3 linked regions of the Anolis sagrei genome follow. The protein of the gene in region 1 purifies or fractionates together with the protein of each later gene. This does not show direct contact. Links are inferred from orthologs where the notes say so. Each region holds a gene or a part of one and is shown on either strand. Other genes may lie near its edges. The genes, in order: PRKAR2A, AKAP8 and PRKACB.

Region 1 (10,795 bases):
GAGTCCCAGGTAGTACCGGTCTCTGCAGGGCCCTCTTAACCAACACTGCTGTATGGGTGCCCCAGTTCAGATTCTCCTTTACAGTGACACCTAGGAATTTAAAACTGGCCACATGCTCCACTTGGTCTCCATTTATGACCAAGGGCTGAATTTCTGGTCTGTCCTTCCTATAATTCACTATGAGCTTCTTGGTCTCACTGATGTTAATAACCAGATTATTGTCCCTGCACCACAAGAGCAGCTGATCCACCTCATCCTGATAGGCAGACTCATCCCCTTCAGAGATAAGCCCCACCACAGCTGTATCTTCTGCGAATTTTGTAGATTGAGTGGCTGGGGTTGGAAGATTTCTCCTTTTTAAACTTTGTACACATATGATTGCATCCCATCCACCATGATATTGCCATGGTGGACGGGATGCAATCATATGTGTACAAAGTGAAAAAAGGACAAATCTTCCAACCACAGCCACTCAATCTACATTTCACTCCATCCTGGCAGTTTACAGGAACAGAAGTTGTGGAAGGAGCTAAGCTAGCTCCACAACACAGGGATGAGATGGAGAAGTGCTTTGTCAACCAACATCTTGCAAAATGCAAGCAATAACATAAGGGTACAACACTCCATACTCTCATGATGAAAACAAAGGAGAAGGAAAACTGTGTCCAGTTCTAGGGACTACAATTCAAAGATATTGACAAGCTAAAATGTGTCCACAGAAGGACAAATAAAATGATCAAAGGTTTGGAAATGCAAGTCCTATGGGGAATGACTGGATATGTTTTGATTGGAGAAAAGTAGGTTGTCATGTTTAAATATTTGAAAGGATGTCACATTGAAGAGGGGGAAAACTTGTCTTATGCTGCTCTGATGAATATGATATGGAGCAATGGATTCAAACTGCAAGAAAAAAATCTACTTAAACATTAGGAACAACTTCCTGATGTTCAACTGTGGAGTATTCTGCCTCAGAGTATGATGGAGTCTCCCCCTTCTGAGGTTTTTAAGTAGAGGCTAGGTGATTCTTGTGGCCTCTTCCAACCCTATGATTCTATGACAACATGACATTTTTAGCATGGTTTTTGTGGATTTCCATTTACTTTTTCTAAAACACTGGAGAAAGGCAATTAAATGCTATTGAAAACCAGTTACATAGGTGCCATCTGATAATGGAAGCTAAGTAGGGTCATTCAGCCCTGGTCATTCAACCCTAGTATTTTAGAGTCCATTTCAGAGGCATTAACTCCCAAAGCTACCTCAAAGTGCTCCTTGCTTAAGAAAACCCTATGAAATTTATAGGATCATCATGGGTTTACAAGCAACTTGAAGGTACACAGACATACATACGTAGTAGTTGCATCACAGTCATGTTGTCTGTACACAAATCTGGAAGCCAGTTTGGAAATATGTCTAGCCTCTGCATTTTACTTTGCCAAATAGGTATCCGCTTATTACATTTCCATTCACCAGAAGTGAAAATTAGTGGCTACTTTTGTCAGTCCTAGGGAATATTACTGTCATGTTTATCTGTCAAATTCTATCAGTATCTTTTTATTAAAAGATTACAGAAAGTGTATGGGGAATAAAAGCACAACCTGTACTACATAACAACACAAAGCACAATTCCTGCCAAATCCTCTCATCTTGTACAGATTCTACTGAATCTCTTAAAGGAAAAACGTCCCCTAATGAAAAATGTAAAGGATAGTTCATTCAATACTCATTATAATTCTGTAAGATCGTGATGTTTTTCCTCTGAGTTTAATTAATGTGCATTTTAAACATGCAGCACTGTACCAATCACACCAGGGAATAAACCCTGTATCATTTCATTTCTTCAGTTTGAAAACTGATTATATCCTACTACTTGTAGTCAATAGTTCAACAACACAGAATTCCATTTTTCTTATTCTGGTAGTTTCAAGTAATTTCTCTACCTTGTTCTCTCCTTTAAGCTACCTTCAATTCTGTTTGGAGAAAGGGTAGGTATAAATTAAATAGTATTTCCATTTCTCCCCACTATACAAAGTCATAACTCTTCACTCATACTTCTATACTTCCAAATCAAGAACCAAAGCCATACACAACCTCATCAGTTCAACCATCACCAGTCAACAATTTATCTAAAAATTACTTTCTTTTGTCTTATTATAATTTGAAATGAAGAATACCATGAATCAAACATATCCAAGGTTTGTCAACAGACATGGGAAGTGAACAGTATTCTCCAAGAATTCCTGGTCCACAATCCTGGCTGCCAACTACTGTATATCCTTCTTTACTCTTAAGAATAATCATCAAAAGTATGCTTTAAATTTTGACATAACGAGGTCATGGGAATATCCTGAAGCCTAATCCAAACTTTGTCCTGAAATTGGCTCTTCCATCCTATCTAGTACAGAACTAGAAAGTAAATTCTCTGAGCTTTCAGTCGATTTTTAAGTTCTATGTCTACAGTTGAACTGTAGACATAATCCCATTGGTACCTGCTGGGATTAGATTCCAGCACACTCCTGTAGATAGGAAAATCCACACACGCTCAAGATCCTTTATATAGATTGATACAGAAATATATACTTTAATATTTTAGGCAACGGGTGATGGAATCTGTGGATACAGAGAGGTGATGACAATCTAAGTGATAATTGTATGCTTTCTCTTTGGAAAGTGAGATTTAAATACATAACCCTCCCCCCTTCAGAATATTCTAACAGGACAAGAGAGATGGGAAAAATTAACACAATTGTTCTCTTTCTTTAAAATCTACCCAACACACTGTTATACATTTTCCTAAATGCTCAGAAGTACAATTTGCAAGAAGTTCCATTATTACAAGCCAGAGTAAAATTTATTTATTTATTTATTTACGGCATTTATATGCCGCCCTTCTCACCCCGAAGGGGACTCAGAGCAGCTTACAAGATAGATAGATAGATAGATAGATAGATAGATAGATTCCGACCCGGGGAAGTGAAGAGATTCCCTAACTATTCAACCTTTCTACAAAGAAACTGCTACTTGTGCGTTCCTCTCCAACCTCCCCAATCTCCCTAAAAAGATTCTAACCACATTAGTGCAAACCCTGGGGGAATGAGAGTCTTCTCTACTACATATGAGAGAAATCTATTATATACACACCCATCCAACAGGGATTAGGACAACTATACAACATGCAGGACCCATACCACACATAGGGATTGTTATGTACATTACTGCAGCACTGAGGTTAAGATTCCCCACTCCACAAAAAATAAGTGACAGACAGAGAAAGAGCATGCACGTGGGTGTGGAAATAAAATCCACATAGGACACATAATGAAAGGACTATGGAACAGGGAAGGCATTATTTCCTTGGACAGAATGGTGAGTCAAAAAAATAAAGCTTGTTAGCTGGCTGGAGAAATAAAGGGGACACACACGCACACACAAAGCATCCATATTCACTGCGCTTTTTCTCATCATACAGACAAGGTCACACCTCCTATTCCCTGCGCAAAGAAACCACTCACACAACCGTCTAGAGATCTTGCAGTCATTCCTCAACATTACTTAGTCAGCACATATAATGTGCATATACACCCTCTTTCCACCATATATGTATACACACACACACATATACACACACAGCCCTCTCTAAACATATATACAAACCTCTATATATACACATATACACATCTCTATTTATATACATTCGTACACATACCTTCTCTCTCCCCATATGTATATGTGTGTGTATACACCCATATATATATATATATATATATTACACATGTACACACCCCTCTATTTTATAGTCATACACATACCTCCCTCGCACTTTCTATCTATACATACTATTTCCTTTATAATCACCTCTCTCGATTGATATATATTCTTACACATACCTCTTCTCTCTCTCTCTCTCTCTCTCTCTATATATATATATGTATAAACAGACACCTCTATATATACATATACAGCTTCTTCTTTCTCTATATAATCACACACACTATTCTCTCTATATATAAATTGACACATCCTCACCGACCCACTTTTTAAGCTTCACGTAAATCTATTTGTCAAAATATATGATCTGGTGCTATACACCTCTATAGGTCTCTCTATATAGACACCTCTCTCTCTCTCTCTCTATAAATATATATATATATATATATATATATATACATATACACACACAGATATATAAACACACACCTCTCTCTATATATATGTGCGTGTGTGTGTGTATATATACACACACATCTCCATACATACCTCTTTACATAAATACATTCATACACCTCTCTCTCTATATATATACACATTCATGCACCTCCCTCTCTCTCCCTCTCTCTCTCTATATATATACACTTACACCTCTCTCTCTCTCTCTATATATATATATATACACACATACATCTCTCTACATATTAATAGATCCATACACCTCTCTCTCTCTCTCTCTATATATATATACACATACAGCTCTCTACATATTAATACATCCATACACCTCTCTCTATAAATATATACATGCATACACCTCTCTCTATATATGAATACAACCATATACCTCTCTCTCTATATATACACATACACCTCTTTCTATATTGATACATTCATACACTTCTATCTCTCTCTATATATACGCATACACCTCTCTCTCTATATAAATACATCCATACACCTCTCTCTCTCTCTATATATATATACGCATACACCTCTGTCTCTCTCTATATATATATATATGCATACACCTCTCTTTATATAAGTACACTCCCCCCCCCTCTCTATATATATATATACAGAGACACATACACCTCTCCCTATACATATAGTTTTAGAGAGATACACACTTCCCTCTCTCTACACACACATACAAACATCACCTTTCTTCCACCGTGGAGCTCTGAAGAAGTCTCCCCCAAGCCCACAAACGTGCAGGCCTTTTTTCTTTGAAAGCCACCGGTCTAGAGAAGGCAACCGAGTTCTCGTGGCTTTCCAGAGGCACATTTCCGAGGCGACCCGTTTGGTCCAACAAGGGACTTGAGAAAGGCTGCCTCTCTCCCGCCTCCCTCCCTCCCTCCCTCGCCCGCCTGAGGCAAGACGCAATAATGAGAATGATGATGAGGATAACACCAATAATAATAATAATAAAGAGTGCGCCATGAAATAGCCGCGAGGAGGGGAGGGAGGCAAGCAAGCAAGGAAGCAAGCAAGCGGGGCTATTTTCTATTCTGAGCGCCCTAGGCCGCCCTCCTCCTCCTCCTCCTCTTCCCTGACTCACGCTCAAAGTCCGAGTCCGAGTCTTCGGCTTCCCTGCGCTCTTCCTCGCCGTTGGACTCTGTCTGCATGGGCTCCCCGTCGAAGAGGACGCCTTTGCCCCGGGCGGAGGCCGCTGCCGCCGCCGCTTCCCTCAGCTGCTGGTCTCGGCTGTCCCTCAGGCGGCAGAAGTAGTCCGCGGCGAAGCCCAGCAGGTCCGGCGGCCGGTGCCTCAGCACCTCCACCGTGTAGCCCTGCAGCAGCTCCGTCAACCCCGGCGGAATTTCGATGCTCATCTTGGCGCCGTCGAAGGGAGGCTCCGCGCCCGCTGCTTCTCTCTGCCCTTCCCTCCTCAGACTGAGCCGTTACGGGAGCCGGCACGCGCGCGACGGAGAGAAAGGGACGGAGCGGGGGAGGGGCCAAGCGCGGGCGCGCAACAGCGAGCAAGGTCTGCGCATGCCCAGCAGGAAGCCGCGGCGCGCGCCCAGGCAGGGAGGAGGTGTGTGAGATGGGCGGGGCTACAAGAGGAATAGGGGGCGTGGCCTCCTATGGGGAGAAGCAAAAGGACACTAAGGCATGAGGGCTACATGCGGTGCGCATGCGCAGGAAAAAGTCGGCGCTGCGCTTGGTGGGCGGGGCTAGGGAGGAGGAGTGGGCGTGGCCTAGAAATGGAGAGGTTCCTCAAGCTGTAAAAGGAGGCGTGAGCGCTATGTGACGGGTGTGCTTGCGGTGCGCATGCGTAGGAAGAAGCCGCGGAGACGGTCTGGAGAGGCGTGTGGTGGGCGGGGCTAGAGAGGAGGAGGCGTGGCCTAGACATGGAGAGGCGCGTCAAGCTGCAAAAGGAGGCGTGAGCGCTATAGACGGAGAGTATGCTTGCAGTGCGCATGTGCAGGAGGTAGCCGCGCAAAAGGTCCAGTAAGCTGTGTAGCCCCCAGTGGCGCAGTGGGTTAAACCCCTGTGCCGACAGAAATGAAGACCGACAGGTCGCAGGTTCGAATCCAGGGAGAGGCGAAATGAGCTTCTCCCTCTATCAGCTCCAGCTCCTCATGCGGGGACATGAGAGAAGCCTCCCACAAGGATGATAAAACATCAAATCAGACTTGCAGACTGCCAATTCTCTCACACCAGAAGCGACTTGCAGTTTCTCAAGTCGCTCCTGACAGGACAAAAAAAAAGCTGTGTAGTGGGCGGGGCTATGAATTAATTGGAGGCGTGGCTTCGAAGGGGAGAAGCGAGCACGCTGAGAAAGGACTAAGGCGTGAACGCTATAGACAGCGAGTGTGCTTGTGTTGCGCATGTGCAAGAGGAAGCCGCGAAGATATACAGTGGTGGGCGGGGCTAGGGAGGACTGAAGGATTGTGCGTCACGGGACAAAAGGAGGCGTGAGCGCCACAGAGAGGCAGAAATGTTCTGCGCATGTGCAGAAGGAACCCGCGGAGAGGGGGCGGAGGATTAGAGGTGTGTCTGTGAGCGGGGCTATGCAGAAGTTGTGGGCGGGGCCTCGAGGGAGGTGTGAAATGGTGAGCAGGGGAAAGAATGCGTCACCAGACAAAAGGACTAGGAGGCCAAGTGCGTAGTGCGCATGCGTGGAAGGTTTGACAACTAACTCATGGCTCAATCAATGCTATTGTATTGGAGTGGTTTTACAAGGTGTTTAGCCTTGTCTCTCAAAGAGTGCTGGTGCCTCACAAAACTACAAATCCCGTGATTCTATAACCATACTGCTCGAAAAACTCACAGCAACCAGTGATTCCAGCCATGAAAGCCTTTGGCAACACATTATTATTAGTATTTCTTTGATTCCTTGCTTGAGTTCAGGTTAACTATTCTTATAATATAATATATTTTATATACATATAATATTTATAATATAATGTAATGCATTATAAAACTAATACTAATAATATATTATAATTTTCTTTGTGTGTGTGTGTGTATATATATATATATATATTTGTCGGGTCAGGAGCGACTTGAGAAACTGCAAGTCGCTTCTGGTGTGAGAGAATTGGCCGTCTGCAAGAACGTTGCTAAGAGGATGCCCGAATGTTTTGATTATTTTACCATCCTAGAAGGAGGCTTCTCCCATGTCCCCGCATGAGGAGCTGGAGCTGATAGAGGGAGCTCATCCGTGCTCTCCCCGGATTCAAACCTGCGACCTGTCGGTCTTCAGTCTTGCCGGCACAGGGACTGAAGCCACCAGGGGCTCTGCGCCACCAGGGGCTCCAATTATATATTTATATTACATGTCATATTACTAATAATACTACAATATAATGGTATAGTTGTTGTTGTTCATTCGTTCAGTCGTCTCCGACTCTTCGTGACCTCATGGACCAGCCCACACCAGAGCTCCCTGTCGGCCGTCACCATAGTACAATATAGTATATGGTATAGTACAATATAGTAATATTTAATACTGATATTGTACTATGCTAATAATATAGTGAGTGTGTGTGTGTGTGTGTGTGTGTATGTATATATCTTATAAGTCACCCTAAGTTCCCTTCGGGGTGAGAAGGGTGGCATATAAATGTTGTAAATAAATAAATTAATTAACTGATAATCTACTGTATAGCATTTCTGAATATGTGATTAAGCTTAAAAGAACTTTTCCAAGAAACAGACCAAAGAGCAGACCCTTTGTCAAATTAATGGCATTTGCCTGTAATGTGCAAGCTGGAGGAGCTTTTCCCTGCAAATTTGGACCTTTCGGAAGCTCCTAATTTTCCAGATTTATTTCACAGCTTTAAAATCTGAAATTTTATCTCACAAGAGGAGAATTGCCTATATTTTCAGTGTAGCATTTGACATGAGGATGACACATTGGCACACTTCTGGTTTTTAATCATTAGGTCTCAGAAAACCCTTTGAAATTCATGGAGTCGCTTTAAGCCGACAAGTGACTTGAAAGCATAGTATTCATAAGAATTCATCCCAAATCACTCTTCTTTGTATTCTGTTTTTTCCCTTCCAGACTAGGACTCAACTATTGTGTATTGATGGATGCCTGGTATTCATCTTGAACCAAGCAACCAGAGTGGGTGCAAAATATATATCTGTATATTTAAATCTATTTGAACATTTATATTCTGCAAGTTTTTAAATTGGGTCTTTTTTTAAAAGGTTGTGTGTCATTTAGGATCTTTGTGCCTGAGATGAAATAAATAAATAAATAAATGATGTATAAATAATTATATTTATAATCAGTTCTTAATAATAAAAACCCAATTCAGCACTCAGAGGAAAGATTTTCGAACTGTTTGTCATGACACATTCGTGTATTTGTTGCAGTGAGTAGATGTGTCACACAAACATTTGAGTTATGTGAAATAAGCCATAAATAAATATAACTAAATATAATGAAATGTTTTCATGAGATACGTTGTGTGCTGGTACAGTTGTACCAGGAGCTCCAATTCTGTTTGCTTTGCATTAAATGTTTGTTTGCAATCCCAGGCTTGGGATTTTGCAGCAGGGTGGCTTCCTGTTATCGTTTGCAATCATAGGGCAAACCACCTGTCAATTATCGTTAGGTTCCCTGGTCCCGCCCCTTTTTGAGTTTTGGAGGGAATAGGAGCCTTTTTGAGTTCAGTCCACACAGAGCAGCTTTCCATGCAGGACATAATACCAAGAGCTCCTGTAGAAAGCTTCGTCTTCTACGGCTTGGCCGGGGAGATATACAGCCTACAGCCTGACTGGAGTTATACAGCCTTGCAGCTCCTTCGCTGGGGGACTTCAGTCAGCCATCACGGAAGCCTGAATCCTTTCCCCCTGGAAGTCTACAAAGCTCTGCTTGGTAAGGGTTGCTCGCAGAAGCCAGACGCAGTTGGTACCGGGTGCAGGGGCTCCACACCAACAGAGGCAAGTACAAACTGCCCAGATTAGAAGTTAAGGATTTCCCCATTAGTTAGTATACAGTTATGAAGATAGTGCCTGTTCCCAGTGAACAAGATTGCAAGAGCCAATAGACTGTTAAGAAAGCTTGAATGTACCTGTTTGTTTTCATCAATAAAGAACTTTGTTGGACTTACTTTAAGCCTCTACAGAACTTTGTTTTGGGGAGGTCCAAGGGCCTTTAATCTGAGGCGTCCCCGACGTCCCGTTGGGCACACAGAATTTATGTCCTGTCTACAGTCATATGCACAGGCCCAGCGTGCGACAGCACACGTATCCCCATAGATTTCGTTATTACAATTCATGTATGTATCTCTTATAAGGGGTTGGTTGAACCTCCATTTTGCTAGTCTACCTGAATTACTGTGTTGCGAAATTGCATGTGCCTGAATGGTATGAGTAGATCAATAGGTACCACTCTGGTAGGAAGGTAACGGCACTCCAGGCAGTCATGCCAGCAACATGATCTTGGAGGTGTTTATGGACAACACCGGCTCTTCAGCTTAGAAATTGAGATGAGCACCAACTCCGAGAGTCGGACATGACTGGACCTAATGTCAGGGGGAAACCATTACCTTTACCTTTACCTTAAAAGGTGTGCCACCAACATAAAACGTTTTTAAAGCTCAGGTTTAGAGGATACTAATGGTACGCATATTGTTGGAAATAGCGACCTTCTACATGCCTCCTATAATAGTTATTTGTTATGTATATAATTCAGATTGCTTACTGTACTGTATAGGTGTGTTGGTATGCAGTTTTCCTTAACTCTTTGTTATGGGAGGGGCTGCAGACCACATGATTAGATCTGGGATTGTTCAGACTCAAGACTCCATTTTTAGAAGTCTGTATGCTTGCATCAGAAGGAACACAGTACAGTTTAGAAGTCAGTAGAAACAGAATGTTTTAGAGCAGGAGTCCTCAAACTAAGGCCCAAGGGCCAGATACGGCCCTCCAAGGTCATTTACCCAGCCCTCACTCAAGGTCAACCTAAGTCTGAAATGACTTGAAAGCACACAACAACAATCGTATCTCATCAGCCAAAAGCAGGCCCACACTTCCCATTGAAATACTAATAAGTTTATATTTGTTAAAATTGTTCTTCATTTTAATTATTGTATTGTTTTAGGTGTTTTTTGCACTACAAATAAGATATGTGCAGTGTGCATAGGAATTCATTCATTTTTTTTCAAATTATAATCCGGCTTTGAGGGACTGTGACCTGGCCCTCTGTTTAAAAAGTTTGAGGACCCCTGCTCTAAATTGATGATGTAGGTCAGGGGTCCTCAAACGTCCCTGAAACTGTTGAAGGGCCAGATTATAATTTGAAAAAAACATGAACGAATTCTTATGTACTCTGCACATATCTTATTTGTAGTTCAAAAAACACTTTAAAACAATACAATAATTAAAATGAAGAACAATATTAACAAATATAAACTTATTAGTATTTCAATGGGAAGCGTGGGCCTGCTTTTGGCTGATGAGATAGGGTTGTTGTTGTTGTTGTGTGTTTTCAAGTCGTTTCAGACTTAGGTTGACCCTGAGTGAGGGCCGGATAAATGACCTTGGAGGGCCGTATCCAGCCCTCGGTCCTTAGTTTGAGGACCCCTGATATAGGTGAATAGGAAATGTTTCCTTATTGTATTATTCTACT
Region 2 (10,908 bases), about 99 Mb from region 1:
TGCATTTTCCAGTGAAAAGTTAGACTAAAAATCAAGAAATGTCAATTGAGAACATATGCTATTAATGCATGTTCCTACCAAAACAAAAATGACAGGAATTGTATAGTTCCTAAAAAATATCAGTCTCTTCTGATGGTATCTCAATCATTATTATTGCCATTGGTTACGTTTATGGAAACTGGAATTCAACAAAACACGTAAGAGCTTTGATTCACCATTTCTGGCTTAAACCAAGGCAGAAAATTGTCTGAGTACAGTATTCTCAATATTATATAACAGGGATGGTAAAATGCAGTCACACCACAAGTTGGCAACACCTAGAAAAATGAAATTATATAGAATCACACTCCAGGAAGCACGTCTCTCCCTCAAAATTCAACACTGGGTTCAAAAAGAGTTTTAATAATGTTTCTGTAATGGAAAGAAACTTCTGAACAGGAAGAGTGTCTATGGTTTGTGATGTGTCTGGGCAGGTGGTGGAAAATTGCTCCTTGGACCTTCCAAAGTTGCCCACATTGTTGCACTGTTGTTTTCATGTGCTTGTTCCATTACATCATTTCATTTTTTTATCCAGCTCTCTATTAGTATTAGTGCACACTTCTTTCCACAGTTGGCAAAAATAAATATTGGTAAATAAAAATAAATGAACAGTGAGTTCTACATGGCTCTGTTTTTGTTTTCAGGGTGAGAATCCTTTTACAGATGACCCTGAAGAAAAAGAGGAGCATGAGGAAAGTGAGGCAAGAACAAGTGGGGTCATGGAGGAAGGAGCTGCTGAAGGTGAAGAAAACAAGACAGAAGAGGAAGCTAAAGGCGGTGACAGTCTGACTGAGGAAAATCCAGCAGAAGAAGGCAATGCAGAAAATAAAGATGGTGAAGGTGAAGGAGGAGAACCGTCAGGACAAATGGAAGAGTCGAACTTGAAAACATCCCAGGAAGCCCTTGCAAAGGAGCAAGAGCATGATGATGATAATGAGGAAGAAGAAGAAGAGGAAGAAAGAAGAGGAATCATTCCATCAGAAGAGATGGAACCACCTGATGAATGAACTTGTGAAGAAAATAAAAGCATTTTGAGACTCTGCATTAAAAATTTTAAAACCATAACTGTATTTGTGACACTTCATGGCACGCAGCTTTTGGTTCCCATTAACTACATTTCACCTAGTTACAGCACTTGAAAGCCTTTATCTATAAAGTGTTTTTGGAGATAGCTTTTTTAACCAAATCTTCATTGTATTAGATAGACTTTGTGCAGTACAATTTTTAAGTGGCTTTGTACTAGGATAAATACTTTTTTTTTTTTTTAGTAAATAATCAAAACCAAATTCTGTTTATTCGCCTGTACCATATTACAACCTGGGAAGATAAACATCCTCTGGGCCTCTCTTTAATTCTGTATATAGTTGAAAATGGTTTTGTTCCCTAGGTAGCCTTGTCTGGAAATGTCAGTAGCAGAGTTCTGAGTTTTAAATTTCTTGCAATTCAAGTAACTTCCATGGAACTGTAGCATTCATTTGTCCTTTTTCTTTTAATATACAACTCTTAATACTTTGGAGATCAGCACAATAGTTTTGCAGTGCTTTTATTTAAGGTGAATATTTCCAAGGAGTGGAGATAAAGCACTATACTACCTATATGTGTGGATTTCTGAAAGAAGCAGCATGTAATAGATGTTCAGGAAGTCTGAGAGAGGGGGAAATGTATCCTGGCACCTTCTTAAAAAGCAGTTTGGTATTACTTCTTTTGAGTTTTGTCCAGACAATGTTTAAAGGACATCATTGACACTACTTGGCTTAGATTGCTGTTGTGTAAAGGAAGGCTACAGTAGGCCATATGGAACCTATCAATGAAGAGTGTTAAAGAAACATTAAATATTCCCTTCAATGCAGTGCTTCACAGTTGTCTCATTGTAAAACCTTCCACAGTTCATTCTTGAACAGTGCGATACTGCTTCACTGTGCTACGGGGAGGAAACTGGCAATAATGCCATAGATTTCTTTTAATTTCACCAACCTCTGTAAAACTGCTCACAAAGGAATAGTCGTACAACTGTCACTGCTTCATTCATTCTCAATGTATTATCCTGTGCTTTTGTGTGTATGTGTGTGTACATGCATTTTTCTTGCAGTAGAAATCAACCGGAAGAATATCATGGACATGTTTTTATGCTCAACTGCTACATCAGACAAGGCAGTGATAAATGAAGGAACTGTTGTAAGTGGGGCAAAAGATTTGGTACCACCAAGCACTCTGCTGCCTTCAGCTCTAGATCACTGCTTCTTAAACTGTGGGTCCTGACCCCAAATGGAATCATCTTAGCTCCACGTTGGGGATCCCATAAAATTGGTTACAGTAAAAAAATATATTCATTTACACAAACCTATTGTGCAATGTTTGCCGTGGATGCCACAAAAATGTTTCAGGTGCACTTCATTAAAAGGAAAATCAACCCTTGCAGATGCTGATTTATTATCAGTAAATGTTTGTTTTTTTATACCTGTTTTGCATATCTATATACCTGGGATCACGTAAAAATTCTTGGATCAAAAGGGGTTGTGAGTGAAAAAGGTTTAAGAAGCCTTGTTCTAGAGCTACTATATGCCAGTGAAAGACATATGGAAGAAGATATTGTGAGTCAAATGTGAAATGTACTGGCATCTACAGGAATAGAAATATTGAAGAATAAAGCTTTTCCTTCAAAATGTGTAACTACTGGAGTAGCCCTGACCTATCCTGAAATGTGAGATGTTTTTGAAAATAAATTGCAAATACAAAATTACCAGTAACAAGCATCTTGAAAAATGCTTACTGTTTAAGAAAAGAACATTTGGTAGGCTTTTGTGTAGGTTGTGTAGGTTCTGTTGCAATGACTAACAATGACAGAGGTTGCTAGGACCAAAGTCAAGGTAGGCAGCCTCTGTTCTCCAGTCTGATGGCCTGCAACTTCCATCATGAAGCCTAATCCTGCATATTTTTTTTGAAAGACAACGCAATATTAAGGTACAACTTTATTGAGATTTTTGAGTAATAGATAACTCATTACATTTTTAGTAAACATGCACAGGATGAGGCTATTTGTTTCTCTACAAGAATGAGATGAAACTTTTCTGCATTATATAGTAACATCAGGTACGTACATTTATTTCTCAATGTACTTAACAAATATATGACTTAGTTTAGTGCTGAATTTTTCAACTGATACCCTGGGGACTTCAAAAGTTCTTACTTATTGGGTGATTGGGGGGGGGGGGGGACGACAATTTTTGCTAAGGAATCATAACATTTCTTCTGGTGCTGCAGCGGGTTAAACTGCTGAGCTGCTGAATTTGCTGACCAAAAGGTTGGTGGTTCGAATCCGGGTAACAGAGTGTGCTCCCGCTATTAGCCCCAGCTTCTGCCCACCTAGCAGTTAGAAAACATGCAAATGTGAGTAGATCAATAGGTACCGCTCCAGTAGGAAGGTAATGGCGCTCCATGGAGTCATGCCGGCCACATGACCTTGGATGTGTCTACGGACAATGTCAGCTCTTTGGCTTAGAAATGGAGATGAGCACCAACCCTCCGAGTCGGAAACGGCTAGACAAAGTTAGTTACAATACCTGCTAATAAAAATAATTTTGTTAATCAAAAACCACTCAAGATTCTAATCATGGGTCTCTTAATATTTTTAATTAGAGACTCCTATGCTATTATATTGGGCCTTCCACATTTACAGAGGTTAGGGGGATAGGATCCCCTTAAAGGTGGAAAAAACATTAATTTAAAAACATCATTTTTCCTCTGAGCAAAAAAATCTAGGAACCCATTGGTTATCTAGTATGACTCTATGATCAACTTCCATCAGATTCCTAGAGAGACTATTTTAATTAAATCTGCAAAAGTCAAACTTGGGAATGTGGATGGCCAATTGCACTTAATTTAAGGCTAATAGATAGAAGACTGAGTGAGTTGTGTTAAAATAATTGATTTTACTAAAGGCCCAGGATATTGCAAACATTTCTGCTACTCAGATTTTTTGGGTACAGATGTATGAGCAGAAGAAAGGATATCTCTGTGGAAGAGGGAATAAATATAACAGCAATTCTGGATCTACAATAATTTCTCAAGAGGAAGTTTTTTTTGGAACAGGATGTCTGAGAGAAAGGTCTTCTACCTAGCTCTGATTAAAATGGTATTACTGTAATGATGATAAATCCAATGTAGATATGCCCATCATAATGCAAGTCACTCATCACATTCTGGTTTCGGTTTTCATTCTTACATATTAAATGGGGGAAGGTGGAACTGTCCCTTCAGAATACAGGCTGGGAACTAAATCCTAGGAGCAACCAGACTAAGATTTATGGCATTAAGATCTATGGCATAACATCACATCCGTCTGTTATGAATAAGAGTCATTTCCCTGTCTAAAGCATAGAGCTCTGTTTACTCACAACAGAGAAAGCTATTGTAAAAATTTGACAGATTTAGCTTCTATCACTGCAACAACTCTTTAGTGTTGTTCATGATAAGCAGATAATGTACATGCCTCTGTTTCTTATGCTTCGGATATTGTACAGATTAGTTTCCTGCTTAAATGTTATTAACTGTATTGCTGTATCAGAATGTTAATTTTGTACGTCGCCTTTTAAACTCATTGTCATTTGTCATGAGTTAGTTCTCTGTCTATATAAAATGAGGCTGGATCAAGATGTGATTGCCTGGCAGTGATTCAGAAAAACCTAGGGAATTTGTTATAATTTGAGCTTTCATGTGACTCAAAATTTATAAAGTTTCCATTAGTTTGAAAAGCAGTCATTGATTTTACTGAGCAGTAGTGTCGTATTAATTCATTGCTTGCTAAACTGCACAAAAAAGCTGTATTTGACTATAACACATCTAATAGGAATTAGGTTCCATGAAAAACGTATGAACACACTTCCAACTATATAGGATGTCTGAGTTCAACTTTGTGTATAAGTACTTTAATTTGGGGACAACCAGCTTCTGCATCCTTGTACTTTAGTTTAGTCCTCTCTCTCTTTCAACTATAATCTGTCCACGAGAAATGAACATGGTTTATAAAGGATCTCTAGACTGCTCCCTCATGCAGTCTCTATCCCTGCCTTATGTTATCCCAGTCTTATCTTTGTAGGGAAGGGCTGCAGTTTCTATACAGATGCAACTAACCATCCTCTGCCTGGGAGGGCAAACTGTACCCTGGGGCTGCATGCAGTTCCTAATGGTTTCAGCGAAGACTTTTACCATTGCTTTTTCCTATGTCAGTTACTCTGCATTTGGAAACGCTTGTTCAAAAAGCCACGTCTTGACTTTTTTCCGGAATGTTAAAAGGGAAGTGGCCAATCTAATATCTATAGGGAGGATGTTCCACAGCTGAGGGGCCACTACCGAGAAGGCCCTGTCTCGTCTCCACCAAACATACTTCTGAAGAAGGCGGTAATGAGAACAGGGCCTCCTCAGATGATCTTAAGGTCCTAGATGGCTCATAAGGGGAGATGTGTTCGGACATGTAAGTTGGGCCAGAACAGATAGAATTACCAGTCCTGTGCCCCTTGGGAGTAATTTCAGTAACAGAAGGGGCTGTTTTGAGAGAGTGGGCGCACAGGTTTGGCAATATTCTGGTTATTATGAATTGTTAAAAGGCAGAAACCAACTCTGGACCCTTCCAGACAGGCCCTATATCCCAGGATCTGATCCCAGGTTTTCTGCTTTAAACTGGATTATATGAGTCCCCACTGCCAGTTAATCTGGGATAAATAGAAATCTGGGATCAGATCCTGGGATATAGGGCCTGTCTGGAAGGGCCCTCTGAATGCTGTTTCGTTCCGTCATTAGGATTTTGATTCCTTTTTACTTTCAGTTTCACTCTCTTGGTTTAAGGCCCACTGGTGTTGAGAGAGGCGCCTCTTGACAGCTGGCCTTGTGGGAGGGGGAAGCAACAAGCAATGTGGGAGGGGGAAGTCACTCGTGGGATCCTCATTGGGTGGGACTCTGACATTCCGGCCAATCGAAATCCACCGGCCCCTCCTGCAGTAGCCAATCCCCGCCGGCCTGTGGCGCTCGCGCCGTCAGGGTACAGGTTAGGTCTTCGCTGTGGCAGGCCGGCGGCGCGGAAGCCATGGAGCAGGGCGGCTACGGTGAGTGGGGCCCGGTCGGGCAGGAGGGACAAGCCTGGGGTCAGGAAGCCCTGCGCCTCCGGGAAGCGTCCCCCACAGTTGTGCGCCCAGCCTGGGCCTCGCCGCATTCCCCGTTGGCCGTTAAGCAGCGAGCGGCGTTGATTGGGCCCCGAGGTTGTCTCTCACCAAGTCTCGCTTTGTGACTGGAGAGCTGCTTGGCGCGCGGATTGTGGTCTGCGAGGGAGGCGGGGCCTGAGGTCTGTGAGCGAAAGCGGCACAAAATGGCGCGGAGGCGGATTATTCTCTGCGTCAGGGCGCTTTTTCTGTAGGTTGGCTTTGAGAACCGGGTCCTGGGTCTTGTCTCTTTTGGCCAGTTCCTCAAACCTCCCCTTCGAGCGAAATGTTAACTGCAAGGTCGCCAGCGTCATTTTTGTGACAGGCATCTGGCCTAAACTCCCCAAAGGCACCAGATCTTGTCTGGTCTTGGAAACTAAGCGGCCCTAGTTAGTACAGGTCATTTTCCCGAAATATCTGGGATCAGGTTTGCAACTACACACAGTAGAACTAATGCAACTTGATACCACTGGCTGTCGCAGCTCAATGTATGGTAGTTGTAGTTTCACGAATGAATGGATGAAGCTTTATTTATATCCCGCCCCATCTCCCAAAAGGAACTCGGGGCGACTCATAACAAAACAATAACATCAGTGCATTGTCGAAGGCTGGGATCACTGGGTTGTTGTAGGTTTTTTGTGGGCTATATGCCATGTTCTACAGGCATTATCTCCTGACGTTTCGCCTGCATCTATGGCAAGCATCCTCATAGGTAGTGAGGTCTCATTACCTCTGAGGATGGAGCCCCCGGTGGCGCAGTGGGTTAAACCCATGTGCTGGCAGGACTGAAGACCAACAGGTCACAGGTTCGAATCTGGGGAGAGCACGGGTGAGCTCCCTCTATCAGCTCCAGCTTACCATACAGGGACATCCAGGTGTCCCCTGGGCAACGTCCTTGCAGACTGCCAAAAAAAACCCCCAAGAACCTCTGAGGATGCTTGACATAGATGCAGGCGAAACGTCAGGAGAGAATGCCTCTAGAACATGGCCTATAGCCCGAAAAAAATCTACAACAACCCAATAACATCAATAATAATAATAAAGCACATAACAAGTAAAACAATTTAAATAACCAAAAACAAAACAAGGCATAATAAATAAGATGGAGCATAACTCAAGAATGTCACAACCCTTTAGCTTTCTCTGCCAAAGGGTGCTAATGCCGCACCAAACTACAATTCCCATGATTCCGTAGCACTGAGCCATGGCAGTTCAAGTGTTGTCAAGGTGCATTCATTCTGCAGCATAGGTGTGCCCCAGAAGTGTTTGGGATTCAGATTTAAAATATTTATATTTGCATACATGTACCTAATGAAATATCTTAGAGGTGAGAAACAAAAGTAAATACTAAATCCATGTATATTTCATACACACCTTACATAACAACCTGAAGTTAATATTATACACAACCGTTTTAACAATTCTGTATATGAAACAGTATTTGTAATTGAACTATTAGTAGGCAAAGATGTCACTACTTCAGCCACCATATGTGCAGGTTTAGAATATGTTAGAATTCCAGATAAGGATTGCTTCATTATATTTGGATAGGAGTCTGCCAACACATACCAGATGCTGTAGGCTGTCTTTCGGAGGAAAGAACTGGCAAAACCACCTTTGAGTATTCCTTGCCTAAGAAAACCCTATAAAATTCAAGGGGTTGCCATGGGTTACTAACATGCCAATCCCTATGGCAAATAAAGTGTTCCTTGGCATGCAAATGATAACAGTCTGGGGGCATTTGCATGTTGAACTGTTGTATTATTATTATTATTATTATTATTATTATTATTATTAACTTTATTTGTACCCCGCTAGCATCTCCCGAAGGACTCGATGCGGCTTACACAGGCCGAAGCCTCAAAACACAATACAATAGAGAACATAACACAACAATAGCAAAGCAAATCAAAACAATAAGCAAAATAACGACAATGGCAGTACATCAAGACATTATTAAAAACTGGTTCGGCCGGCGCACTGGGGTACAAGGGGTAAAAGTGCTGAAATGGCAGGAGGCACGTAGGATAAAAGTGCGGTGTGCAGCGACGATTAGTTATGCTAAGGTGCTACTAGGACTTGGGGTGGGGATATATGTCATTGGGCAACTCATTGGGCAACTCTACAACTTGTGGTGTGGGATATACCAGCAAGGGAGAATTTGACAGTAATATCTCTTCTCAGCAAGTTCACACCCACCAACATTTCACAGAAGAAAACCGGGATAGGTGTGGCCAAGCAACATTAGAGTTGGTTAAAATTACTGTTCAGAAGAATTCCCCTCCGTTTCTGTCCCTGTGAAAATTGGGCTTATTGTGGAAACAAGGATTAGTGATAAAGCTTTAGTGGAGACACCTTTCAATTCTTTCAGTTGTGAATTTCCCTTCCTATGGGTAGATTTCTCTCACTTCCTGTTATCTCACCCCCATTTTTCACTATCAGTTGATTGTAGGTTGGATGTTCGTAAGTCGAAGACTGCCTATAGTCACATTACACATCACACTTTCTATTTATTACCTTTAAATACAAAGTATGAATAGCAATTTTTACAGGTACATAAGTGATAAATTTTCATTTGGTAGAAGAATGAGGGGAAACCTTGAATGATTTTTTTTTTTTTTTTGGAAAATGTATTAATTACTCTACCCTTACTAAGACTTATTTTTAGAAATAAAGTAAGATGCATAGGATTGCGCTAATGAGTCACTCATGGGATAGTTGTAAAACAGAATTGTGTAAAATAATGTAGTTTCAACATTCAGAAGTTAGACATTCGAAACTGAATTTGTTTATAAGAGCCAGAAAATTTGGAATACCTTCCTCCAAAAAATGCCTTGAAAAAGTAGACGAGTTTTTTGCTGGTTTTTTTTTCAGTGGTTTCCTTGCAGTTGGGTTTTGTGAGTCTTGTTCTTTCTTTAGCCCCTCCAAACTTCAGTAGTGCATTCAGTAGCTTTGGCTATGTTGGGTCAGACTGTTTAGAGTTGTAAGCCAAAATATTTGGAAGGCATCGAGTTCGTTACTCTTTATTTAAATGGCTTAAAATATTATATGCTATAGGTTTAGTTACAGGGGCTGTAACGTAAAGGCCTTGTATTAAGAAAAGCAATAAAACAGTGATATAGAAGTCCCAAACAAAGTGAGCAGTGGAATTTTTACTTGTATGAATGACCCATTAAATATTTGCCTTACAGGTTATGGCTCCTGGGGTACTGATACCTCAAATACTCAAGGTATGTCATTGACCTTCATAGATAGAAAAAAGAAAAATAATGACTAATAGTGTTGACCATAAAAATGCCAATGTTAAACTCAATCACAAATAACATTTTTAGAAGAGTGAACTGATATTCATTCTTACCTTTTGAACTGTACTTGATTTCATTTTTTTTCTTTTGAACTCTTGGCCCTAAATCCAATCACTAGACCTTGGTAGACTCATTATACTGCCCAGCATATATTTTTTTGTATCAAATGTTAGGTATGTTTCTGGAAATACTTGATCTGCTGATTCCATAAATGGTAGCAGTTTCCCCCTTATCAGCTCAATATTTTGAGATACAAAACATGCCAGTCATCATCTACTTGCCTATGGAAAACCATGATAAATTATATCTAAGAAATTAGAGCTGTTGCAGTATATCCAGTGCAGTTTTCTGAATCCGTGCCCAAGACACCAAGAAAGTGTTTTTTATTGGGCTGTGTAAAAATATTCAACTTAATATCTAGTAGTTGAATCAGTGGGACAACTTGGTGGAACTGACAGTGGGATTTAGAGCTGTATTTATGCGCCCCCTGGTGGTGCAATGGGTTAAACCACTGAGGTGCTGAACTTGCTGACCAAAAGGTTGGCAGTTTGAATCTGGGGAGTGGGGTGAGCTCCTGCCGTTAGCCCCAGCTTCTGCCAACCTAGCAATTCAAAAACATGCAAATGTGAATAGATGAATAGGAACTGCTTCTGTAGAAAGGTAACAACTTTCCATGCAGTCACGCTGGCCACATGATCTAGGAGGTGTCTATGTACAATGCCGGCTTTTCAGCTTAGAAATGGAGATGAGCACCACACCCCAGTGTTGGGCACGACTAGATTTAATGTCAAGGGAAACCTTTACCTTTTCTATTTAATATCTGGACCTAAATACCTGCATGGAACCAGGTTCCATCTGCTTTTGGAAGCTAAGCAGCGTCAGCTCTAATTAGTACTTGAATGGGATACTACAGGGTGCGGCAGCATAACTTCCTTTTTTAAAATGTGCACCATTCAGTCGGTTGAAAACGTAGTGGAGCGTTAGTGGTCTCGTTCGAGAGGCTGGAGTATAAAGTTTTGTCTTGACACAGTTCAGTCGCCATCATGCATTGGAACAGTGAGGAGCGTGCTTTTGCCGTTGAAGCCTACTTTTCGAGCGGATGTTCTGTGATCGCAACCCAGCGTGCCTTTCGGAATCGCTTTAATTTAGCCCCATTGGCCCCTGTCCCGGACCGGAAATCAATTGTGACATGGGTCACTACATTCAGACAAACTGCAAATGCGACAAAATGAAGAACTGGAGTCCCTCGGCCCATTAGATCACCTGAGAACATTGAGGCAGTGAGAGCTTCAATGTTGCGATCACCATGGCGTTCTGCGCGCAAACATGCGTCTGCCCTTGGACTTTCCGATCGTTCTGTGAGGAGAATTCTT
Region 3 (11,303 bases), on another chromosome or scaffold:
AAAAGAAAAAGCTGCAATTTCTAGCTTTGGAAGTTTGTCCAGATAGCAGTGATGAGCTTGCCATGAAGAAGGACAATATTCGTGTTCGTTCTTCCAAGGACAGTGAGTTCTCTTCAGTGCCAAGAAAAGATGCTCGAGGAATTCCAGATTATTCACTACAACCTGATGCTTCACGGAAGCAAGCCATTGTTCAAGCCCTGAAAATCAATGGAAACAGAACTGTTCCTGATAATTGGAAGGTCAGACAAAAGAAGAAACCTAAAAAGAAGAAACGAAGAAGTGGAAGAAAGAAGCTAAAAGATCATCATAAAGAGACATTGCTGTGGTCAGTTGGTCCAATACAACCGAGGTTGTGTTTGAACCATGGGACATTGGACACTAAGACATGTCAATGATCAAATGTGGGAGTTTAACTATTGTGTGGGCTATTAACAAAGTGGGAGCATATGTATGGAAAAAAGTTGTGGTATGGTATATAGATAAATGTCTTATAAATTGATCAGACTAGGTAGAAAGTCAATTATATATGTTAATGGGATAGAAACACATTTAGACAAGGATAGTTTTATTCAGGTAAGCTATATAGATATAGGTTTAGTGTTAGCCTGTTAGTTTCATTGGAAGGTGTTTCATCAATACTGATTCCATGGAAAAGGATTTAGCTTTTAAAATCTAATGTATGTGTAAGGTAGTGTAATATTAAAGTGTGGTAGGTATATATGTTTTACAATAGGCAATAGATATTTACGAATATATATATAAGTATAAAAATGTGAGACTTTGATACCACATCCATAGATGATACTAGAATTCCATAGGTTAAAGGTTTGTATATATGTATAGTTGAAATGTACCTAACTATGATGCGTTTCCCTTTCAGAATTGATGTATATGTATATATTGTTAAATAATATGTGAGATTATTTTTGCTATTCTAGGATTAAGAAATATACAAAAATAATATTTCTGGGGAGGAAGGTGTAGAGATGTGTTCATTATAAAGTGTTATTTATAATGTGTTTAAACTGTATTTATAATGTTTATTATAGAGTGTTTAATGTACTGTGTTTAAACTGCATTTATGTATTACATTTATTGCCATGGCCTAGCTGTGAGGGATAGGTTGCCATGGTGACAAGACAAGGCAGAAGAGGAGGTGGGCGGAGCTTAAGGAGAAAAAGGTTGGAGTGTGGCAGTTAAGCTCTAGTCCGGTGGAGGAGACCCGGAGAAGAGCAGAGCCAGTTAAGGGCTCTGGGAAATAGCAGAGTCAAGAAAGGACTCTGGGGAAAATAGTTTAGTCCGGTGAAAGAGACCCAGTTAGGGCTCTGTTGTGAAGCTGTGAGAATTCAGTAGTTCCTAGAATTTGTGAATATTTCTTCAGCAAGAGAGCTGAAGGTGTTACCTTGTTAGATTGCTTAGGTTAAAGAATCTAACAGAGGGGGTTTTAAGGATCGCCAGTAAGGAAAGACTGGTGATCAGTGGTTTGTTCCGAGTATAGGGCAAACAGTGTGGACATTCACAATAGGGAACTCTGGAATAGTATAAGCACTTCACTAAAGAAGGAGTTTGTAGATTTGTAACATTCAGAAGCCTGAAAGTATCTCAAACCAGCCATTTTGTAACATCAAGCCTTGTGCCAAGTTCAAACTCTCAAAACTGCAACAATTACGTTCTGTTAACAATAAAACTTGTTCTCTTTTTATTTCAAACCTGCCTCCTCCATTGCTGTTATGCTTGGTGCATTCCACACTACCAAAATCACCTCACAACCCAACTAAAGATAAACAGAGACATAAACCAGCGTCTCTAAACATATTGGTGGCAGCTTAATAGATATTTAAAAGAAGGTTCCTCACAGAATATTGGTGGCATTAAAGAAGATTGATGCTTCCTCACATAATTTTTGGTGGCATCTAGTGAGATTAGCGCTGCTTCTTTACATTTTTGTTGACAAGCGGTGGGATTAACGCTTCGTTACATTTTTGGTTGACAAGCGGTGGGATTAACGCTTCGTTACAGTATAAATTTTACGTAATATTTTAAACACTATAATAAAAAGAAACACTATGGGTTAGGGGTACGTAAGGTGAAGGTATTGTTGGGTTCTGGGGAGGAAGGGAAATGGAAATATAGGGGGAAACAAGGAAAGAAAGGAAAAGGGTAGATGCAGGGAAAAGGGGATGGGAGTGGAGAGTCTATTGACTTCCGATCTTCTTCGTAGTGGTTATATTTATTCTCAGTCTCCCCCCCCCCCCCCCCCAATTTGCTTCTCCTTTTTATTCCATCCTTTCCAGGAAAATTCCTGTCAAACATTAGATTGTTTTATATTTTCAAACTTTTTTTCTCTTGAGTCATATAATCTTTAAACAATTGCTAATCCATTCTTTGCTTTGGACTTCCTTGGTATTTTGACAATAATTGCATCAATTTATCCATATTCATAATTTCCATCACTTTTATTAGTCAATGTTGTACTGAGGGTATTTCTTTTATTCTCCAACAACTTGCGTAGACTATTCTTGCTGCTGCTGTTAAATTGTTGAATAGTCCATCCTTGTTTTCATCTATATTTATGTCCATTATTCCTGGTGAAATATATTCTAATTTCATTTCTATTTTTATATTTAGGATTTTTTGAGATGTTTCTTGAATCTCTTTCCAATATTTTTTTGCTTTGCTACACATCCACCACATGTGGTAGAAAGTGCTCTCTTGAGTTTCACTTTTCCAACATTTATTTTGCATGTTTTTGTACATTTTCCCCAATTTTTATGGAGTTATGGACCATTTCGTTTTAATTATGTTAATATTCAGTATTGTTTTAAGATTTTTTTTAACTATATGGATTTAGTGTGTCTTTTTTGCAAGTTGCCTTGAGTCCCCGCCTAGGGGAAACACAGGATATAACTAAAAGGATGGATGGATATTTAATCAGTTGATACTGCTGGAATCCTAGATGCACTGATGCACCCGAAACTTTGGGAAACCTAAAAACTGGTTAATATGGTAGTAGTAGATCTCTTTAGGGGATTTTATTCAATATTATGGTGCAGCTACATCTGCACATAGCTGAAAGATCTTGCACTTGTTAAAAGTTTTTGCTGGGACTGGATATGGTTAAATGTTTGCACTGACCTTTGTTTGACTGCTGCTTTTCTATATACATTGAGCCTTTTGCTGAAGTTTCTGTGTTAATTGCACTGTGACTCATACTGTATTTTTCATTTTTTATCATGAAAAAAAAACACCCCAGTTTCCATTCCTTGAACATAACGTTCCTTTCATGGAAAAAAGCTTTCCTGCTTCTTCCTTCTCTCACACCCCCTGAAAATGTCTCTCTTTGAGGATTGAAGGACTCTCTGGTATCCCTTACTATGCCTTCCAATTCTGTATCCAATTTTGGATCCCAGCCCAAGTGCCTAGTACATTGTATTTTTTAAAAAATTCTTTCCTCTAGCACAAATTACTTTTGAGGATAACTTTGTATACTGAATAGGATAACTTTGTATACTGCATTTTTACCTTTTGAACAGCAGATGCCAGCAGATATCTTCTGAATTTAAAATAGAAATGTGGCCAGCGCTGCCATAGCAACAACTTCCTCTGGGCGTTGTTATTTATAGAAACATTGCTGCCTCATCTTTACATTGCTCTCTTGCTAAAGAAAGACTTCCTCAATGGCTTTAAAAAGCTCTGTTGGCGAGATACAGGGTATGGTTAGTCCTGAATTGATTTTAGCATTCTTTTGCATTAATTGTGTTTTTAATGTTTTATTTGATTTTAGTAATAAGCAGGGATTGAAAGAGCTACTTTAGACACTCCTAAGACCTTAAGGAGCATACACACTTTAAAAAAACTTTGTTTTTTTTCTTTAAACAGCAGTTGTCCCTCTCCACTTCATCTAACAACATTTCTAAAACACACAATCATCTAAAAACATTCTACAAAATACACATATAAAATATATTTCTACAAAATACGTATTAAAATATACAGAACAAAGATTAAACATAACATGCAAGCTTAAAAATTATGAATTAAACTGGTTGGGTCAGCCTGCTGGAAGAGAGGTCTTCAAGTGTATTTTAAATTGTGACAGCTAATCTCTCTGTCAGAGCTGTTCTGGCAGGTTGTTCCACAGTTGTGGGGTGGCCGATGAAAGGATCCTCTGGGTGATGGTCGCCAGTCAGGTTCTGGCAGGCTGAGTAGCCGCCCCTTAGAGGACCTGAGTGTTTAGGGTGGATTGTACGGAAGAAGGCGATCCTTTAGGTAATCTGGGCTTTAAAGATTAAAAACAACCCTTTGTACTTTGCCTGGAAACTAATTGGCAGTCAGTGGAGTGACTTTAGGATAGGTATAATATGCTCACTCCTGGATGTTCCTGGCTGCTGTATTGTGAACTAATTGGAGTTTCCGAATTTGGTACAAGGGTAGTCCAATGTAAAGCGCATTGCAGAAGTCCAACCTTGAGGTTACCGGCGCATACACTACCATCTTTAGGTCCTCCAAATCTAGGAAGGGGTGCAGCTGGAGGATCAGACAAAGTTGATAGTACTCCTGATATTTGAAGACACTGATTCAGAAGCACTCTCAAGCTGCGGGCAGAGTCTTTCAAGGGGAGTGTAACCCCATCCAGAACTGGTTAACATACCCCCACCCCAGATTAAGGTCCTTGATTGCAAACACCTCTGTTTTGTCTAGATTCAGTTTCAATTGTGTTTTCCTCATCCAGCCCATTACCTCCTCCAGGCATTCATTAGGCGATATCTGTTTAGTGTTCTCTGCTGATAACTATGCTAGGTATTTGCACTATTGACCATTTGTTGTTGTTGTTGCTGTTGTTGTGCGCCATGATGTTGTGTCTAATCTATGTTGTTTCCAACTTATGGTGGGGTTTTCTTGGCAAGATTTATTCAGAGGGGATTTGTTTTGCCTCCTTCTGAGACTGAGAGTGTGTGACTTGCCCAAGATCACCAGTGGGATTCCATGGCTGAGCAGGAATACAAACACTTGTCTCCAGAGTTGTACTCTAATGTGCAATTACTACACCATGCTGGTTCTAAATCCATGCAAAATTACAAGATTAGAACAAATTTACTTACAGTGCAATCTTGTACATGTCTGCTCAGATATCATCTTCACTGTGTATGCCCAGTGAAATTATGCAGTTTTGAGTACATAGAAAGCTCCTAAAATTCTTTCAGTAACTTATATAAAATTCTACTATTTGTTCAATATTTATCACATCTGAAAAGATGAATACATGTATTCTGTAAGTTGAAATATGAATATGTGCTATAGTAAAGAGAGAGTTGCAAACTATGGTACTTTATCTTGATTGTTGCTATATGAGAAATAGGAGGAAATAGAAACCACATATTATGTAATGAAATAAAGTGAATTATTTGGAGAGAAACAGGCTCATACATTAACACTTTTTGAAATGGACTTGTAATATGCTGAAAGTCATAAGCTCTTCAGAAGTGTATACAGTTAGCTCTCTGTGTCTACAGGTTCTGTATCCGTAGGTTCTTCATCCATAGATTTAATCGCCCATGGATTAAAAACATTACTATACCATTGTATGTAGTGGAATTTGAGAACCCCCAATTTTTGGTATCCATATGGGGTTTGGAACCAAACCCAGTGGATACCAAGTGTCCATTGTATCATCACAAATATGGGCTTCTCAGATCTGAATGATGTACATGGAGGAGTCTAAAGATTATTTTACATAAAATCTTCATACTATACAGTTTGTAGCCTTTTGAGTAAGTTGACATAAAAGCATTCCATTCATTCCCCAGATTGTTCAAAATATATTTCTCCTTCTTACACTATATGTAGCAGAAGCCCATTGTATGATTTAATATGGATAATAACTTTTTCCAAAAGTTAAAATTCAACACAAACTCTTTTAGGTATATAATATCCGTTTATGCATATAGATGTCTGCATAATCAGTTTTCTAGTGCCCTTTTTGAATTTAACAAGTGTGTTTGTTCTCAACATCATGTGGCTTGTTTGGGAAAGAGGGAAAGCACGCAAACAAGTCATGTTGCCCCCCCCCCCCCCCGTCACCACACTGAGCTGATATCGAGAGCCTGAGAATAGCTCTTGAAGTTGGTTTTATATTAACAGGAAGCAGAACAACAGTTGTGGCTAACGCACTGCATACAGGAAGTCTGACACATGCACAGCACTTGGCTTTGAAGTTGAATTCTTAAGTTTGGAGTTATTTCTTTCTTTTAACACACAAACTAAATGTGTATAGATGGCTGCTCAGAAGGAGTTACAGGGCAACCCAAGCACAGGGACTGCAAATGCTTTGCAGAGACTGGAAGGATTTGCCAACAGGCTTTTTCACAGGCACTCCAAGGGTTCCTCCAACGAACTGAAAGCAGCTCAGGAAAATGAGTCTCCGCACTTCTCTGAACTCGCTGCACTGTGGGAGAGATCAAGTAAGTGTGTGGAGGTTACTTGGTTTGTAATGGCAAGTTTTAAACTGTGGCATACTAAATATAGAAAAATGTTGACAGCCAAACTGGCCTGTTAAATGATCAGCAGGTGGATCCAAGTCTGTAGTTCTGTTTCTTGAAACACTTGCTGGTGGTGGAGTAAAATTAATGATCAGACTTCCTTTTGTCAATTTATTCTTTTACATGATTTTACCTTGACGTTTAAATGCACATTTCTTTCAAGTTGTCTTTCTAAAGCAATACGATCCTGGCCTTTCATTGTTCACTTACCTTATATTATAACTTTCAGAGGAGGGAGCATGATCTAACAAATGGACATTCAGTCCAACAAGGATGGCAAATGTACTGAAGCAGGTCACATAGAAATCACTTTTTCCATTTAGGGCCCCAAATGGGCAATACTGGTACAGTGTGGAAAATGGGGTAACCAGGGTTGTAGCCAGTAAATTTCCTCTTGTTCTATACAGCCAGCCAATCTACCTTTAATTTTTTAGAAGACCTTAGTTATATTTTCTGCTATTACACTTTAAAAAATCTATAGATTGAACCAAGTCTCTTAATGACATCTGACTGGTTTGGATATTTGTTTTCCTTTTACATTCGCTGATATTTTAAAACCACAACTGCTTCATAATAACACATTAAAATATAAGTAAAAGCAGGATTTGGCAGCATGTAGTTCAAATTAATTAGTTATTTGTAACTCAGCCCCCTTCCACACAGCTCAATAAAATCTCACATTTTCTGCTTTGAACTGGAATATATGGCAGTGTAGACTCAGATAACCCAGTTCAAAGCAGATCTTGTGGGATTTTCTGCCTTGATATTCTGTCTGTGTGGAAGGGTCCCAAGTTTCCGATTATAGTAACAGAATTATAGCTAAACTACACTTGCAACTTACTAGCATCACTCCTTTTGCAGCATTACTTTATAGTCAAAAGATTGTATCTACTAAATGGCCAGATAGTTTCAACGCTGGGTCATGTTGTACTTTTGCAGCTACCTTTTGTTGTATTACGGCTCTTAAGAAAGCAAGAAGCTCCCAGGGAAAATGGTGTTTTGCACTACAGACCAGAGGTTTTAAATATTTGTGTGTTTGTATTTTTAAAGTATTTTCTGCTGTTGTTTTTGAAAATTCAAAAAGTACAATGAATACTTTTTGTCTTTTAATCATATAATTGTTACTAATTACGTTGAAATTATAAAGACTACTCTTAAAAAAGTAGTTTTCCAAGCTAACTAAAATGCATTAACTTTCCAAAACAAAGTGCTGCTGTTTACCAGATTATTTTGTTCTAAATTTAGTTTGCTACAATTACTATATCATTCCTCAAAGGAGTACAATGTCACTTTAGCTTTACTCTAATCATGAGATATAAATTAGCTTGAGAGAGGGAGAGAAAGAGTGAAAGGCAGTGAAAGCTCTTCACAGAAGTGGTTCTTAATGTAATATTTTATATTCAAATTTTAAACCACAGTGTCACGGAAAGTACTTTATACAATATTGATAATCCAGCCTCACATAGCAGTTTGAACATTGAACAGGGCTATAGGAAGACCTGGGTCTGAATTCCCAATTGGCCATGTAAGGAAGTCCATGTAAACCATCCCTGAACAAACTTCACCAAGAAAACCCCCTTGATAGGGTCACCACAAGTCAGAAATGCCTTGAAGGCATACAGCAACATTATTGACTATAATATTGACAATACGCAACCATAATATTTTCATTACAGATTTGAGAATGTAAACACTTACACCTATTTATTTATAGATGTAGGTATATTGATACCTTTCATTTTTTTGCTTTAATTTTATATACCAAAATAAAGAAGATTCTGCTTTGGTCAAACTCTGTTACAGAGAATTGAGAGTTTGTTTGGTTTTCGTTCTGGGTTTGGAACAACTTAGTCAGCCTTCCTTATCGATGGATTCAGTATCCATGGATTCAACCAACTGTGGCTCAAAAATATTCCTAAAAATAATAAAATTTCCAAAAGCAAACCCCAATTTTGCCATTTTACAATGCCACTGTACATAATAAGAAATGAACATCTATAAATATTGGTGTCCATGTGGAGTCCTGGAACCAAACCTCTGCCCAATATGTTTACATTTACATTAAAATTAGTTATGAACAATAAGGGTAATGCTTTTACATATACACATTTGTCAATGTTATTTTAAAATAACCAATTGATTATATAGTAGACTTGCAGTTATCCAACATCCATGGGGATGGTCAATGCCAGATAAGCATAGTTTCTGGTTGCTTGAGAATTACTAATAAAGGTAGGTTTAACTAATACTATACTCAATGCCATACCCTACCATAAACTCTATATTGACTTGGTAATAGGTTGGGGCATTTGGGGGTCTGAAAATGAAAAGCTGTTTCTTTCGGCGATGCAGAAGATTGGGCCATGTTAATCTTACCTTATTAGCTGCATACCAACACAACAGCATTGGAATTTTGGAATTTATTGCCATTTCTGGAGATTTTACATGCTTCCTTCTTTTCTCCATTGCTTTGTCAGAAATTGATGTTCGTGAGAAATAGCTTAACAAGAAAATTACAGATGTTTTCCTGGGAGAAATCCCGGTGTATATATATCCACCAAAATAATGTAAAAATGGGTAAAAATCACAATCTTCTAAATTTTTCAGGACAAAATTTAAAAATCACAAAGGAGAAGGCTGGGCTCTTGTGTCTAATTTAATGTATTTGCCACTGAAATATTTCTGTTTATCTGGGGCTGCCAGGATTAAATGATGTCAATGTTGTGGCCTGTTGTTTTTTTAGAGGAAAATGGGCACTCAAAATGAAAAAAAAAGCATTCGAGGAAAGCATTTCACAGATATTTTGGATTCTTGCAGGGGTTTTTTTTTTTTTTAACTTCTGCCTAGAACTCCAACAGACTGGGTAAAACGTGCTTATGTTCAAGATTAGTGCCCTTGATGGCTCCTGCCAGGAATATAAACATGCAGGTATGGAGTGAGAGAAGGAAAGTGAGAGAGTTGCCACTAGTTTCAGAGCTAGCCTTTTAAGGATTATGAATGTGAACAAGATTGTGAGCTTTTGAGCTAATTGAAGTTCATTTTATGTTTAAATGGTGGAGAGACCTTCCCTATTTTAAGCCATGCTGTCTGACTTGTTCGACAAGGAAACAGGTAGTGAATAAACACAGAGGATATGATCTTTTGAATTGCATTTCTAACTAACAGTGTGCACTGTGATTACCCATAGATTAGCCAAAGAATGTAATTTATAGATAGAGTTCAGCTGGAATGTAAACAGACAGTAATGAGCATGCCTTTGAAATGTGTTTTTATAAGGGCTTAATACATTTTACTGTTTTCTGCAGCTCTGCAATGCTGTTTCAACTTTAAAATTTGCTACTGTGGAGTTCAATATAAATAGAATTCTTTCTTGTTTCTGATGGGAAATATGTGTACATTCAAAACTCATTTATCGGTTTTGTTTTCCCAAACTGGGATGAAGATAGAAGTAGAATTGTGTACATGCTTCCACAGTTGTGAAAGTAATTTCATCTGCTACTAAGAGCCACATACCAGAATCTGCATCATTTTAACGAAATTGTGCCAACTAAGTCTAGGCTTTACAAATTTCACCATTAAGAACTTAATATTTAGACAATTGCCAGTCATTAAAAGTCCACAGGTGGACAGAGAACACATACTTTTCTGGGAAACGTAAAATATGCACTGGATAATATAATAAGAATCCTGTAACCACGGAACTAATATCTATGGTTTCACTTACCTGCAAAAAAACCCCAGTATCTCTAGGAATTTGATTACCCTACTGTGCACTTTTATCGTATGCTTCTCTTGGAAGTTACCATAATGTCGTGATGGATTGGGGACCTAGCAAATTGGTAGACAGGGTACTTTTCTAGAAATCTCTAGGTCCTCCAGTGCAACTCTGTGGTGTGCTAAGCTCAGAAGTCAGGTAACCTAATGGTGTTTGATCACATCTGCAGTTTCAGGTAAACAAGGTCTGTCTGAAAATGTATCTCCAGCAGTATTTCAGGGGTGGCAATTGTGGAATGAGCTTGATGCTGTATCTTAACAAATCAATGCTGATAGTTTTGAATGGTTCTTCCCCAAATAAATGTTTTAGGTGTATTGTTAAATCATAATGTTAAGGGATAAACAAACTCAAATTCTCTAATGATGATTTTTTTTCTGATATATTGTCCACAAGTCCAATCAAAAAGGCTACTTCTAGGGCTTTGTTTATCATTTGGAATTTGGATTTAAAGCTGGGTTGTGAGTGCTCTTATACCTCACTGAGAATTTGCTAGTTGAAACACTGTGTATTACTCCAGGAGAGTGTCCCATTGAGTTATATGAGATTTACTTTCTATTCCCCTGTAGGCTTTACAATTGTGTGTAGCATATACAACAGGCATGGGCAAACCAGCTGCTAGGCTGTTAGGAATTGTGGGAATTGAAGTCCAAGACACTGTGAGAGCTGAAGTTTGCCCATGCCTGATATACAAGCTGTGAAGAGTACATTTTTGGAGTTTGGTATGCATTATAGCACAGGACATCTTGAAAAGAAAATACTAAAGTCATATCTTTTTTGAGAAGAGAAAGAAAGGGGTCTATTTTCAGCTGGTTTGGCAGAAAATACATTGCAGAATCCTATGCTGAATTGACATATCCTTTTTGCAAAACATCTTGTGCTTCAGTTAATAGTACTCTCAAAGGGGAAGCTTTTTCTATGTGGGTTGTTAGTTTCTTGTGGTTTAGTAATGCAGCAGAAGGATTGGAGCAAATTCTCTCTCTTCTCTAAGT

The links.
Region 2: the proteins of PRKAR2A (region 1) and AKAP8 purify together in Homo sapiens (affinity purification with western blotting; 3 studies listed by BioGRID and IntAct, with this or other methods). This does not show direct contact. The link is inferred for Anolis sagrei from reciprocal best matches to the Homo sapiens genes PRKAR2A and AKAP8.
Region 3: the proteins of PRKAR2A (region 1) and PRKACB purify together in Homo sapiens (affinity purification with mass spectrometry; 6 studies listed by BioGRID and IntAct, counting the BioPlex papers as one, with this or other methods). This does not show direct contact. The link is inferred for Anolis sagrei from reciprocal best matches to the Homo sapiens genes PRKAR2A and PRKACB.

Annotation. Positions count from the first base shown.
Region 1 is NC_090022.1:28,672,392-28,683,186, reverse strand, and holds the start of PRKAR2A (cAMP-dependent protein kinase type II-alpha regulatory subunit), read right to left. Parts: upstream 5,675-10,795; 5' UTR 5,538-5,674; coding exon 5,267-5,537; intron 1-5,266. UniProt on the Homo sapiens protein: Regulatory subunit of the cAMP-dependent protein kinases involved in cAMP signaling in cells. Type II regulatory chains mediate membrane association by binding to anchoring proteins, including the MAP2 kinase.
Region 2 is NC_090022.1:127,269,826-127,280,733, forward strand, and holds the start of AKAP8 (A-kinase anchor protein 8), read left to right. Parts: upstream 1-6,041; 5' UTR 6,042-6,118; coding exon 6,119-6,137; intron 6,138-9,421; coding exon 9,422-9,460; intron 9,461-10,908. Other genes in the region: AKAP8L (A-kinase anchor protein 8-like), read left to right, coding at 684-1,046. UniProt on the Homo sapiens protein: Anchoring protein that mediates the subcellular compartmentation of cAMP-dependent protein kinase (PKA type II).
Region 3 is NC_090024.1:155,445,855-155,457,157, reverse strand, and holds the start of PRKACB (cAMP-dependent protein kinase catalytic subunit beta), read left to right. Parts: upstream 1-6,259; 5' UTR 6,260-6,274; coding exon 6,275-6,461; intron 6,462-11,303. UniProt on the Homo sapiens protein: Mediates cAMP-dependent signaling triggered by receptor binding to GPCRs.